Ovis aries: one gene and its partners. The protein of the gene in region 1 interacts with the protein of each later gene in a pairwise test. Links are inferred from orthologs where the notes say so. Each region holds a gene or a part of one and is shown in the gene's direction. Other genes may lie near its edges.

Region 1 (4,202 bases):
ACCCAGGAATTGAACAGGGGTCTCCTGCACTGCAGGTGGATTCTTTACCAACTGAGGTATCAGGGAAGCCTGGACATCTTAATGACTCAGTTTTATTCTTTTGGCATAGGATGTTGCAAATGGATAGCTTTCTCCATGTTTATTTTATTATCAGTAGAAATGACCTCAAGTTTTGGTAGAATCTCCCATGTTACACTCCTACCAAACCAGTTTAAGAATTCAACATGTCACTCTCTGCTAAAAACATTTTCCTCCAGGGGCAATATAATGGAAAGAATTTGAATTCTACCCCCTCGAACCAAAAGGCCTTCAGCCTCTCTGGGCCTCTCCCCCAACCCCACCCCCTACCCCCTCGCCTGTAAAGTGAGATAGGACCAATCTTGCATCCCAGGGTGGTTGTGAGAATCCAGAGATTCCGTCCATGAAGGGTCAGCTCCAGAAGAAACCTGGTTGTCTTTCAGTTTTAGAGTGCCCCAGGGCATTGGCCAGAAGCTCAGGCTGAACAGGCTGGAGGACACCCTACTCCCGACTTGTAAATGAGGAAACAGGCACAAAAAGCACCATAGGTTTGATGAAAACCACACAGCGCTGGCGGCAAAGCCGGTGCTCGGGCAGAGTCTGAGCGGCTGCCAGCAGTCTTCGGCTTGCAGCCCTCGGGACTGTGCACAGCGGAAGGAGGTCAGCTATTTAGCTACTCTCTAACCTAGTTCGCTCCCTCAACTTCCCCACCCCTGTCCCACCCCAACACAAGTACTCGAACCCACTCCTCGCTTGCTTTGAGCTCAACCCAAGCCCCAGGGGCCGCAGGGAGAAGGAATCATTTCTGGACAACTAGAGGCAGCTGCGGCCACCGTCAGTCTCGGCCCCAACCGGGAGTGGTAGGGCGCTGGGGCGGCTTGAGCTTTGAGGCTCCACATCCTCCCTCCCCGCTGGGCCTCAGACTGTGCGCTCTCGGAACTCCTTTTGCGTTCAGTGACTGTGAGTGGGACGTACATGTAGACGGCAGAGAGGCTCTGTATAGCCATGTTACATGTATGTGTTGCGTGGTCACGCACCCTTTTGTGAAACGTGTTCACTGTGGTGTGCGGATGTCGGGGCGCACGGAATGTGATGCTCCTCATTCCAACACCCGCACTTCCGGAAGGTACTCACAGGCCTTTGTGTTTTTTGCAGGACTGTCGCAACCGCCTATCCGGTGTTTGCGCGGGAGTGACTCCGCCTTAGCTCCGCCCCCGCGATTGAAATCCCGCCTTCGCCCCGCCTCCGCCACACTTTACGGCCTTGCACGCCACTTTTGCCGCAGACGCTCCTGCTGCCGCCGCTGCCCCAGGCTGCTGCCGGTGAAGTGAGGTGAGGTGAGGTCAGGTGAGGTGTAGTGTGGGGCCAGTAGCGCTGGCGACAGGATAGAGGTGGAGAGCCGGGCCGTCGAGGGCCGGCGGGGGTGGTGAGTCACCTGCTGCTTTGTTTCTTAAGCTCCGGTCCCGTCTGCGCTGCCGCAGGGAGGCCGCCCCGGCCCGGAGAGCCGAACCAATGCTGGATCTGGAGGTGGTGCCCGAGCGCTCTCTGGGAAACGAGCAATGGGAATTCGCGCTGGGTGAGTGTGGAGTCTTCCCCCACGACCCTTCTCGCTGATCCTTCCTTCTTTCCCTGCCCTTCCCATCTCTGGGCTCTGCCCCTTACTCCCCTGCACCCGCGGCTCCTTGACTCTTTGGGACTCCAGTCACTAGATACCGGCCCCGACCTGGCAGCCTGTCGCTCAGCCGGGCCCTGACGCCTTTGCATCAGGCTTCGGCGGGGCCCCTCCCGGGGCAGTGCTACAATAATAATAATAACAATGGCTGACACGCCCCAAACGTTTACATGGCCTGACCCTGTTCTCCGGTGCATGATTATATCAGGCTGCCTCCGGGGAGGCCTGAGGGTCGCTAAGATTGTTACTTCTGTACCCATTTTACAGACCAAATAGCTAAGGAGTGACTGACATCCTTAAATACTGCTCCGGTAGTTCATCTCCCTTTGCTTTTCTGGGCCTTGTGTAGCCTCTCCGGAAGGAGAAACCTAGGCACCGTTCTCATCGTCACATACTGGGGAGCTAGTCAGGGGAACTGAGGAGAGTTTTTGTGTTTTAAAGCAACTGCTGACTAGCTTCCTTCTCGTTTTTAATGTCGATGTGTGGTGTAATCCTAAACCCAGACTTTAGCGGAGAGAGTGAATGGTTGAATGATATAAGAGTTTGAGTAAAGTAACATTTGGTTTGTAAAAATGCAGGTTGGGCATTCTGTGGGATTTGGCCCATGTTTTCCCCTTTTCCTCAATGTCGCTACCTTTCTGTGTACTAGTATTTGGATTCAGTAACCCCAGAGTGTGTTTACTTTTATGTTCCAGCACTGGGAAAAGGGGGTGGGGAGCAGGTGTTTGTGCTGTTTGTTTGTGCAGGCCTGAACTTTTGTCACACTAATTTGGGCTACTGGACTGAATCAGCTGCTCCATTGGGCTATAGTTTATCCTTGAATCTGGAAGACTCCTGTATATGGAGATAGGGTAGGTGAGAAACTGCAGAACACATTTGCTAATGGAATTCTACTGGTGCTCGTGTCTCTGAACTGAATAGCAAGCTGCCTCTGGGTTGTAGGAGCCAGTTGAGAATTTGCAGCCCCCTTCTCCCATAACTTAACTGGGATGAAACACTTCAGGTTCTTGCGAAGCACCAAGAACCTGATTGACAGGCTAATGATATCATTGCCTCCAGGCCCATTTGTTTTGCCGATGCTGTTTGGCTTCTAGTTAGGAAAGAACCTCCCCTAAACACAGCTTCTCATCCCAGGACTTCACAGGGCAGAGTGAAAACTATGACTATAGGTTCAAACTGTGCTTGATGGTGTGACTAGGTTGTGTATCTACAAGTACAGTCTCTGGGTCAAAAGTAGAGAGTATCATTTGAGATTTGCAAAAAATGAGGTGGGAGAGTAAGGTTGCTTCTATCAAGTGTTGTTGTGATACTTTAACCCCTACTCCAAAGTTTTCCAGTTTCTAGGAATCAAAGATTTGGGTAGTTCTTTCAGGCTGTCTAAATACCAACCACAAGTAGTGAAAAGAGCATTTCTGTATGTTGGGCCTAGAACTGAACTTTGAGGGAAAGCTCATACAGGGAATAAGCCTGATGAACATCAGCCTTGATGATTCCTTTTTCTGTCTTGAAAGTCTGCACTTAGGGGAGATTCCCTGGCGATCTAGTGATTGGGCTTCCCTGGTGGCTCAGAGGTTAAAGCGTCTGCCTAGAATGCAGGAGACCTGGATTTGATCCCTGGGTCTGGAAGATCCCCTGGAGAAGGAAATGGCAACCCACTCCAGTACTCTTGCCTGGAGAATCCCATGGAGGGAGGAGCCTGGTAGGCTACAGTCCATGGGGTTGCAAAGAGTCGGACACGACTGAGCGACTTCACTTTCTTTCTAGTTGTTAGGACTTGGCATTTTCACTGCGGTGGGCTGGGGTTCAGTCCCTGGTTGGGGACCTAAGAGGCTCCAAGCTGTGCAACATGGCCAAAAAAATCCACATTTTTGTATTATGTCTGCCTGAGAGATGGTCATTTAACTTCCCTAAGCTTTTTATTAAAAAGTAATTTTCCCTCTTTCTCAGTCTTCTTACCAGCCCTTAACACATTTAAGCTGAAATTTAGGCTGATAGGTAGGGATAGGCCTAAGAAGTGAATCTGTGCTTTAGAATTATATTCTTAGGCTAAAGTCACCACAACCCTGTGAGGTTATCTCTATTTGCCAGGTGAGGAACAGGCTCAGAAAGGTAGAAAGGATAAAAAGAAGCCTAGTAGAGATTTCCTGCTTCTCACTGCTCTGCCCTTCTGAGGATTGGCTCAGCTTAGTCTCCAGGTTTCTTTTTAGCATCTGTGCAAATGCAGATGTATCCAGTTCTTGCCTTCATCTGCCTGGCATCACAGTGAGGAGCTGCATCCAGCTTTTTGGCTGCCTTCCTGACCTTTGTACTGTTAGGAGATTAGGGAACAACACAGAGATAAGAAAGCCTAGGCAGAGAGGAATCTTTTGCTGGTACCACCTTGGCTTGACCAATGGTGGAGCAAAGGCAGTGCAAACTTAAGTGTTTTCAATGAGACTTACAGAATGTATTGGTGTGGAGACATATCTCTAAATTTGTTTTTAAATTAATCTTTAAAAAGAGATAGCTAATA
Region 2 (4,356 bases), on another chromosome or scaffold:
GGGTGCAGCCCCACGTGGCCAGCTGTACTGTGCCGCTGGGCCAGATGATGGCCAAGAAGCTGCTGCTGAGGGCCCCTGCACTCCGTGTCCTCTGCTTTCCAAGCCCCCCAGGCCTGCCCTGCTGCCTGCCAGGCCATGAACACCCGGCCGCACTGGCTACCGAGTCTCTGTCAGCTCCATGGCCTCCAGAACTGGGATAGCCAAGTGTCTTGGTGCTAAATTGGGGGAAGTTGTGGTTTATCAAGAGCAACGGAGCCTCCAGTCTAAGTAAAACGTGGTCCATTGGAGAAGGCAATGGCAAACCACGCCAGTGTTCTTGCCTGGAGAACCACATGAACAGCATGAAAAGGCAAAAAGATAGAACACTTTTACTGGCTGGTATAAATCAGTGTCCCACAATCACCATCTCAGGTTTGAATCTTTGCTAGAACAGCAAAGGGAACTGTGTTCACTGGTTTATCATATAATAAAGGCTATAGATGAACAGATGAAGCCCAGAAGGGTCCCAAGTGTAGGAGGTTCTGTCCCAAGGATTTAGGTTACACTACCCTCCTAGAAAGTTATGACCGACCTAGACAGCATATTAAAAAGCAGAGGCCTTACTTTGCCAACAAGGGTGTGTCTAGTCAAGGCTATGGTTTTTCCAGTGGTCATGTATGGGTGTGAGAGTTGGATTATAAAGAAAGCTGAGCGCTGAAGAATTGATGCTTTTGAACTGTGGTGTTGGAGACGACTCTTGAGAGTTCCTTGGACTGCAAGGAGATCCAACCAGTCCATCCTAAAGGAAATCAGTCCTGAACATTCATTGGAAGGACTGATGCTGAAACTGAAACTCTTAATACTTTGGCCACCTGATGCGAAGAACTGACTCATTTGAAAGCACCCTGATGCTGGGAAAGATTGAAGGCAGGAGGAGAAGGGGATGACAGAGGATGAGATGGTTGGATAGCATCACTGACTCAATGGACATGAGTTTGAGTAAACTCTGGGAGCTGGGGATGGGCAGGGAGGCCTGGTGTGCTGCAGTCCGTGGGGTCGCAAAGAGTCGGACACTACTGAGCGACTGAACTGAATCCTCCTAGTGCATGAGTATGTGAATCAACCTGGAAGCACTCCAAAGCCCACAGTCCAGGGATTTTCAGGGAGGCTTCATTATATAGACATGATCAATTATTACCTCAATCTCCAGACTCTTCTCCCAGGAGGATGCTATTGCTGTTACCGAACTCAGGTTCTGCTGCTTGCTGCTTGAAAACATACTCAAGAGATGAGTGTTCGTTGGAAATGAAAAGTTGATTTATTCAGACGTCGGCAACCTGGGAGAAGGCTGACTAGTGTCTAGTGTCGAAAGCCAACTCCGAAGATTCTGCTTGACCATGAAAGTTTTTAAAGGGAGAATCATTTGAGGAGGAGGGATAAGTGTCTTCCTTATCTTCCCCTGTGCAGACTTTCTTCTGATTGGTCAGTGGTGAGGCAGAAGGCTCCAGGAATCTTGTGCTCACCCTTAAGATACCATTCTCCACCCGGGTGGGGCCTCATTCCTACTGAAGAGCTCAAAGAATAATGTGTATGCCTTGAGGAGGAACCACGACCCTGTCCCGAAGCCTCACTGTTATTTCTTGACTGCTCCTCCTTCGGTTCTGCTTCCCCTCCCTTCCCTGATAATAACCACCTGTTTAAATCTGCGGAACTCAGGGAAGGTCAGGAGGCTGAATGAACCCTGTTTCCTACAAACAAGAAATGGGGGACACGGAAAAGAGTGTATCAGAGGGTATGTATCAGGTAGTTATATACGCCCCTTGGGGAGGAACTAGAACTCTTTCATCACTGAACTATTGACTGCTTTCCCATGGTTCCTGTAGTCCCTTACTTCCTTATATGTCATTAGTTACTGACACCTGTTCAAGGGCACGCATTGCAGCCAGGCTTAGATTACAAAATGGCTTGGGCCAAAAGTGCTTCTCTTCTGTCGAGAAAACCAGGCCTGGTTCTCTTTCTCCAGGGACTCCCTACCCTTTCTGTTCTTTGTATCCTCTCTTTTTTGAGATTTTCTCTTTTTTTCCATTCATGTCAAGAGTGTTCATAATTGCTTGCAAGAGCATTTGTGTAATTTTGCTTTAAAGTGTCAGATATGATTCTTTGTCATCAAAGTATTGGCATCTGTTAATTTTTGCATGTGGATTGAGATTTTTTCTGGTTCTTTGTATACCATGTAATTTTTAGAAAATACTTTTGGCTGTGCTGGGTCTTCATTGCTATGCACGGGCTTTCTCTAGTTGCAGCAAATAGGGGCTGCTCTTGTGGTGTGCAGACCTCTCATTGCGGCGGCTTCTCTTGGTGCAGAGCGTGAGCGCTAGAGTGCGTGGGGCTCAGCAGTTGCCGCATATGGGCTCAGTAGTTGTGGCTCGAAGGCTACAGAGCACAGGCTCAGTAGCTGTGGTACACTGGACCCCGGACCAGGGCTTGAACTGCTGTCTCCTGCATTGCAAGGTGGACTCCCAACCCCTGGGCCACGGAAACCCCTACCATGTAATTTTGGATTATATCCCAGATACTTGACTATTATGACACTTTATTTAGCTCTTATGGAGATCATTGATATTTTTGTTTTAGTAGGCAGTCAATCTGGTTAATTTGTGCTGTTACAGGAAAGAAAGTGGGGCACGAGAGAATGGTCACTTGCCACATCTCAGGCAAGTCCCGGGGATGGCTGCTAAACGTGGGTTCTTGGCTTCATGAGGGAAAGAACTCAAGAGCCAGTCATAGCAGAATGCAAGGTTTATTCAGGGGTTTACTCCATAGACAGAAAATGGGCCATCTCAGAAGGTGGGGGGTTGTCAGTTTTTATTAGGGTGGGTAATTTCATAGGGTAATGAGTGATAGGATTATTCCAACTGTCTTGGGGAAGGGGCAGGGATTTCCAGGAATTGGGCCACTGCCCACTTTCTGGCCTTTTATGGCCAGCCTCGGAACTGTCATGGTGTCTTTGAGCAAGTCATTTAGCTCACTGATGTACTGTGCGTGTGTGTGCTCAGCCACTCAGTCGTGTCCGACTCTTTGGGACCCTGTGGACTGTAGCCCACCAGGTTCCTCTGTCCATGGTATTTTCCAGGCAAGAATACTGGAGTGCCTTGCCATTTCCTTCTCCAAGAGATCTTCCTGACCCAGGGATCAAACCAGCATCTCTTGAGTCCTGCATCGGCAGGCAGGCTCTTTACCATTAGCACCACCTGGGAAGACCCACTGATGTATTACAATGAGCACATACTGAGGCTAACGGTCTAGTGGAGGTCAGCCATCCGCCATCTTGGCCCCACCTTGGCTCTAACTAGTTTATATTGGGTCTTCAGTGGCGGTCATTCTTTTAAAGGTTGTTCCCTCCCCATTCCTGTCTGCATGTTTTAACACACCTTCCGTGGGTTGTGGTTTCAGTCGATTCATTTTCCAAATCCTTTGCCGTTGTGTAATTTTATCTGTCCCTTGTGTGTATTACCCAGGGGCTAGCTGGGGACCTGGGCAGTGATCTGTCCGCCAGTTTAGTTCTCAGAGTCTTTGATACGCTGATTAGGATAAGATTCATGCCTGAGGTATTCAGTGGAATCACTTTCCAGAGCTGCCCCCTCTCCAGAGTCTCCGTGAGCTTTCCCTTTCTTTGGAGGTTCCTCTTTTTCAGGCAGAAAGCTGAGGCTCAGGGACCACGCACTTCTGTCGCGGTGCCTGCATTTACTGTGTAAGTGGACTAACATCTTCGAGTCTTGGTCCTCACATGTAAAATGCAGATAAACATATTACAATGACTGGTATATAGAGCTAAATAAATGTTTCCTAATATTAAATTTTTAGCTTCTCAAAACTGTTACTACAGATTCAGTTTTCATTGATTTAAACAATCTTTATCCAAGTTTATGCATGTGAAGGGGAAATAAATTATGCCATGGGCATCAAAAAAGACTTGATGAAACTAATTTTTGGTCTTCAATTAATAGTTTTAATTTCTAGTGTCTTTAGGTATAAATGTGTGTGTATGTGTGTGTTGGTAAGTCATGTCTGACTCTTGTGTGACCCTATGGACTATGCGTGCTCTTTTGTCCATGGAATTTCCCAGGCATGAATACTGGAGTGGGTTGCCATTTCCTTCTCCAGGGGATCATCCCACCCCAGGGAGCAAACCCTGTCTCTCCTGCACTGGCAGGCAAATTCTTTACCACTGAGCTACCTGGGAAGTCCTTAAGTATAAACGCCAGCTCCAAATTGTAAGATAAATTGCTGGGGTTCTGACACCTAATTTTTCCTGTTAGTGAATAGAGTCTTAAGGGAAATAGAAATGAAACACAAACAATCCCTTCTGTTAAAGAG
Region 3 (3,646 bases), on another chromosome or scaffold:
GTGTCCTCTTCCAGGATACCAAGGCTCCCTCCACCCCTGCAAGGATAACCTCTATCCTGATTTCTAACGTCATCAATTAATCAGTTTTGTCTGTTTTGAGATTTTGTAAATGGAATCATATAGAGTATACTCTTTTGAGTCTGTCTTGTGTGTGCTGCGATTCATGGGGTTGCGAAGAGTCGAACACGAGACTGAACTGAACTGTGTTTAACACTGATTGAGTTACCCATTTTGTTGCAGGTAGTTGTAGTTAACTCACTAGTATTGTTATGTTATATAGTTAATTTTCTGTTGCATAGTATGTTGTTATATAGTATTTCTTTGTGAATGTAACACAATTTAGCCATACTTCTGGGAGGAGCCTCTGAGTAGTTTCCAGTTTGGTGGCCAATATAATAGGGCTTCCTTGATGGCTCATATGGTAAAAAATCTGTCTGCAATGCAGGTAGACCCAGGTTCAATCCATGGGTCAGGAAGAGCCCCTGGAGTAGGAAATGGCAACCCACTCCGGTATTCTTGCCTGGGAGAATTCCACAGACTGAGGAGCCTGGGAGGCTACAATCCATGGGGTTACAAAGACTCGGGTGGCAACTGAGCACCTCATTGTTACACAGTGTGTTATATAGTATTTCTTTGTAAATATCACACATTTTAGCCACTGGACTATGAGGAGCATTTGGGTAGTTTCCAGTTTGGGGGCCAGTACAAATAATGCATCTATGAACATTGTTATACGTGTCTTTTGATGTACATCTGTATGCATTTCTGTTGCTTATGCTATGTACCTAATGGTGGAATTACTAGATTATAGGGTTGGTATATGTTAACTCCAGTACTCTTGCCTGGCAAATCCCATGGATGGAGGAGCCTGGTGGGCTGTAGTCCATGGGGTTGCTAAGAGTCGGACATGACTGAGTGACTTCACTTTGACTTTTCACTTTCATGCATTGGAGAAGGAAATGGCAACCCACTCCAGTGTTCTTGCCTGGAGAATCCCAGGGACGGTGGAGCCTGGTGGGCTGCTGTCTGTGGGGTCGCACAGAGTCGGACACGACTGAAGCGACTTAGCAGCAGCAGCAGCGGCAAGCTGTAGTAGATACTCCAGATAGTTTTCCAAAGTGGTTATACTAATTTACACTTTCGTCAGTAGTGTGAAACAGTTTTGATGTCTTTAATCCTCTCCAACATTTTAGTCATTCTGGAGTGTGTAGTAATAACATACTGTTAACATTAATATGCATTCCTCTCATAGGTAAATGAAGGTGAGCCCCCTTTTGTGTTTTTTAATCCATTGGCTATCCTCTTGTGAGTACTTGCTTGTCTTGCCCATTTTTGATTAGAGTATAAGTAGGACATCTGTTCAGTTCAGTTGCTCAGTCGTGTCTGACTCTTTGCGACCCCATGGACTGCAGCACGCCAGACCTCCCTGTCTATCACCAACTCCTGGAGTGTAGTTATACTCATGTCCATGAGTCGGTGATGCCATCCAGCCATCTCATCCTCTGTCATCCCCTTCTCCCACCTTCAGTCTTTCCCAGCATCAGGGTCTTTCCCTCCAACTCACATATTATTCGGTGGGCAGTGCTTTCTGGTAGTAGAAATACAGTTGAAGGAAAAAGGTGCAGACAAGTCCTCTTCTCGCTATTGTAGCCATGATTTGAGGGGTAGCTAGTGCCTTCGTTAAGTTCAAGCTGTGTATTCAGCACCAAAATAAGAAGATAAACTTGTCTCAGCCCCCTAGATCACACCCAGACTGTCTCGATGCTGCATTCCTGAATTTTGTTCCCAGAAAATGAAATCAGGAAAAAGATGTGTCTTGCATGGTGTTGGTCTTTGGGGATCTGTTGTGAGACATAGCTCAGAACAAATTGCAGGATGTCAGACAGGCTGGGTTAAAGAATAGACTTTTCTAGGGAAATGGATAACTTAGAGCATCAGGGTTATTAGCAGGAGAAGGTATTCTCCCAACTGTCATCATCCCCTGGAGTCAGTCCGGTGCTGGGTGCACAGGGAGGGACCTCATCCACCCATGAGTCTCCCTTCTCATAGGGAAACAGGAGAGCAGCATTGTTGAGGGGAGACGGGTGATACTCAGGCTACTTAGTTGAAGGTAGCCTGAGTTTAGGTTTGGGTGCCAGCAGCGTGAGAAAGCCAGTTGCCCAGTGCCTGAAGACCCTGGGGCTTGTAGAAAGTTGTATTCTTCCCACCCTCATAACAGGAAGCCAGCGATCCCTTGGAGACCCAAGCTGGGATGCATGCGGTCTCCTTGCTGCCTTGTTTAGAAGTGAGCTCCAAGCATGATTTTCTGGACAGTATTGCTCACTACACCACAGTGTGTGCCTTATCTTTCTTTAAGAGAGCCTCATTTTTGTAGCTACACGTCTCCATAAACATGGAACAGAATTTGTCTTACTGTGTCAGTTCTTGAGATTCATCTGTTCATGGATTTGAAACTCCATGAACGAACATTTAAATGTACTCATTAAATGGAGTACATAAACATCCCATGAATGACCATTTAAATCTTGTTGAAAGAACAAATGTTCTAGGGATTAAATGTTCTTTTCAGCATTAGTAATTTACCATGGAATCTCCAAAAGTGAAGTTATTTTAGCTACTGAAAATGAGGGAGGCTAAATGTTTATTGTAGAGTAATTTTTAGTAAAATATGAGATTTTATATAGATGATTTTTGTTTAATATAAATCATTAAGTTTGACCATATAACTGATCATATAATTATAGTTTCATTATAAAATAAATGTTAGCAAATGAAAATGCCCATACCTGGGTTATTCATGCTTTCTAAAGCTAAAAATGTTTGGTTTGGCTGTGTTAGGAAGTTAATGATTACATATCTTTGGAGAAGATACTGTACAAATCTGTTTTACAAATCACATTTGAATTTTTTCTTTTGGAAATATTAGCAAGAAGGCTCACTTTGTGCTCAACACTGCTTGAATAACCTACTACAAGGAGAATACTTCAGCCCTGTGGAATTGTCTTCAATTGCACATCAGCTAGATGAGGAAGAGAGGATGAGAATGGCGGAAGGAGGAGTTACTAGTGAAGACTATCGCACATTTTTGCAGGTACCAATTTTAAACTCACTAAATCACACTTCTTAAAAAATGTGGGTACTGTTTAGAAAGGGATGAGCTGCTCTTCCAATGGGGATCTGACTTGTTAATTATAACCCAGCTCTCGGCTTTGTAGACGGGAATGCACAAGATGTTATTTTAAATGCACACACTAATGACACTTTGCCCTTCTCTCCCCACCCTCAATCTCTGCCCCAACCACCTCTCCAAATTCAACAGCAGCCTTCTGGAAATATGGATGACAGTGGCTTTTTCTCTATTCAAGTAAGTAGTCACAAGCATGTGCTAAGTGTTGTTTATATCCCAGGCAGTAAACTCAGGATATGCTTTTCACAGCCTTTCAAAGTCACCTATTGATGTGACCTTCAGAAGTTCCTCCAGTAGGTTGAGTATAAGAGTATAAGATTATCCTTTAGAATACTAGTTTTCTATATAGCTACACATGAAAATTAGGACAGTAGATTCTTCATTTTAGAGAAGGCCTTTTTCAAAGGAGGTTGTTAATTTGAATCTGTGTGCTAATAAATGTAATTCCAGTAAGTCACA

The links.
Region 2: the proteins of PHAF1 (region 1) and BCAS3 interact in binary tests that used the Homo sapiens proteins (3 or more experiments, as listed by UniProt). The link is inferred for Ovis aries from reciprocal best matches to the Homo sapiens genes PHAF1 and BCAS3.
Region 3: the proteins of PHAF1 (region 1) and ATXN3 interact in binary tests that used the Homo sapiens proteins (3 or more experiments, as listed by UniProt). The link is inferred for Ovis aries from reciprocal best matches to the Homo sapiens genes PHAF1 and ATXN3.

The regions. Positions count from the first base shown.
Region 1 is NC_056067.1:34,324,589-34,328,790, forward strand, and holds the start of PHAF1 (phagosome assembly factor 1), read left to right. Parts: upstream 1-1,290; 5' UTR 1,291-1,530; coding exon 1,531-1,594; intron 1,595-4,202. UniProt on the Homo sapiens protein: Plays a regulatory role in autophagic activity. In complex with BCAS3, associates with the autophagosome formation site during both non-selective and selective autophagy.
Region 2 is NC_056064.1:12,004,527-12,008,882, reverse strand, and holds the start of BCAS3 (BCAS3 microtubule associated cell migration factor), read left to right. Parts: upstream 1-1,534; 5' UTR 1,535-1,713; coding exon 1,714-1,771; intron 1,772-4,356. UniProt on the Homo sapiens protein: Plays a role in angiogenesis. Participates in the regulation of cell polarity and directional endothelial cell migration by mediating both the activation and recruitment of CDC42 and the reorganization of the actin cytoskeleton at the cell leading edge.
Region 3 is NC_056071.1:54,595,118-54,598,763, reverse strand, and holds part of ATXN3 (ataxin-3), read left to right. Parts: intron 1-2,926; coding exon 2,927-3,091; intron 3,092-3,319; coding exon 3,320-3,364; intron 3,365-3,646. UniProt on the Homo sapiens protein: Deubiquitinating enzyme involved in protein homeostasis maintenance, transcription, cytoskeleton regulation, myogenesis and degradation of misfolded chaperone substrates.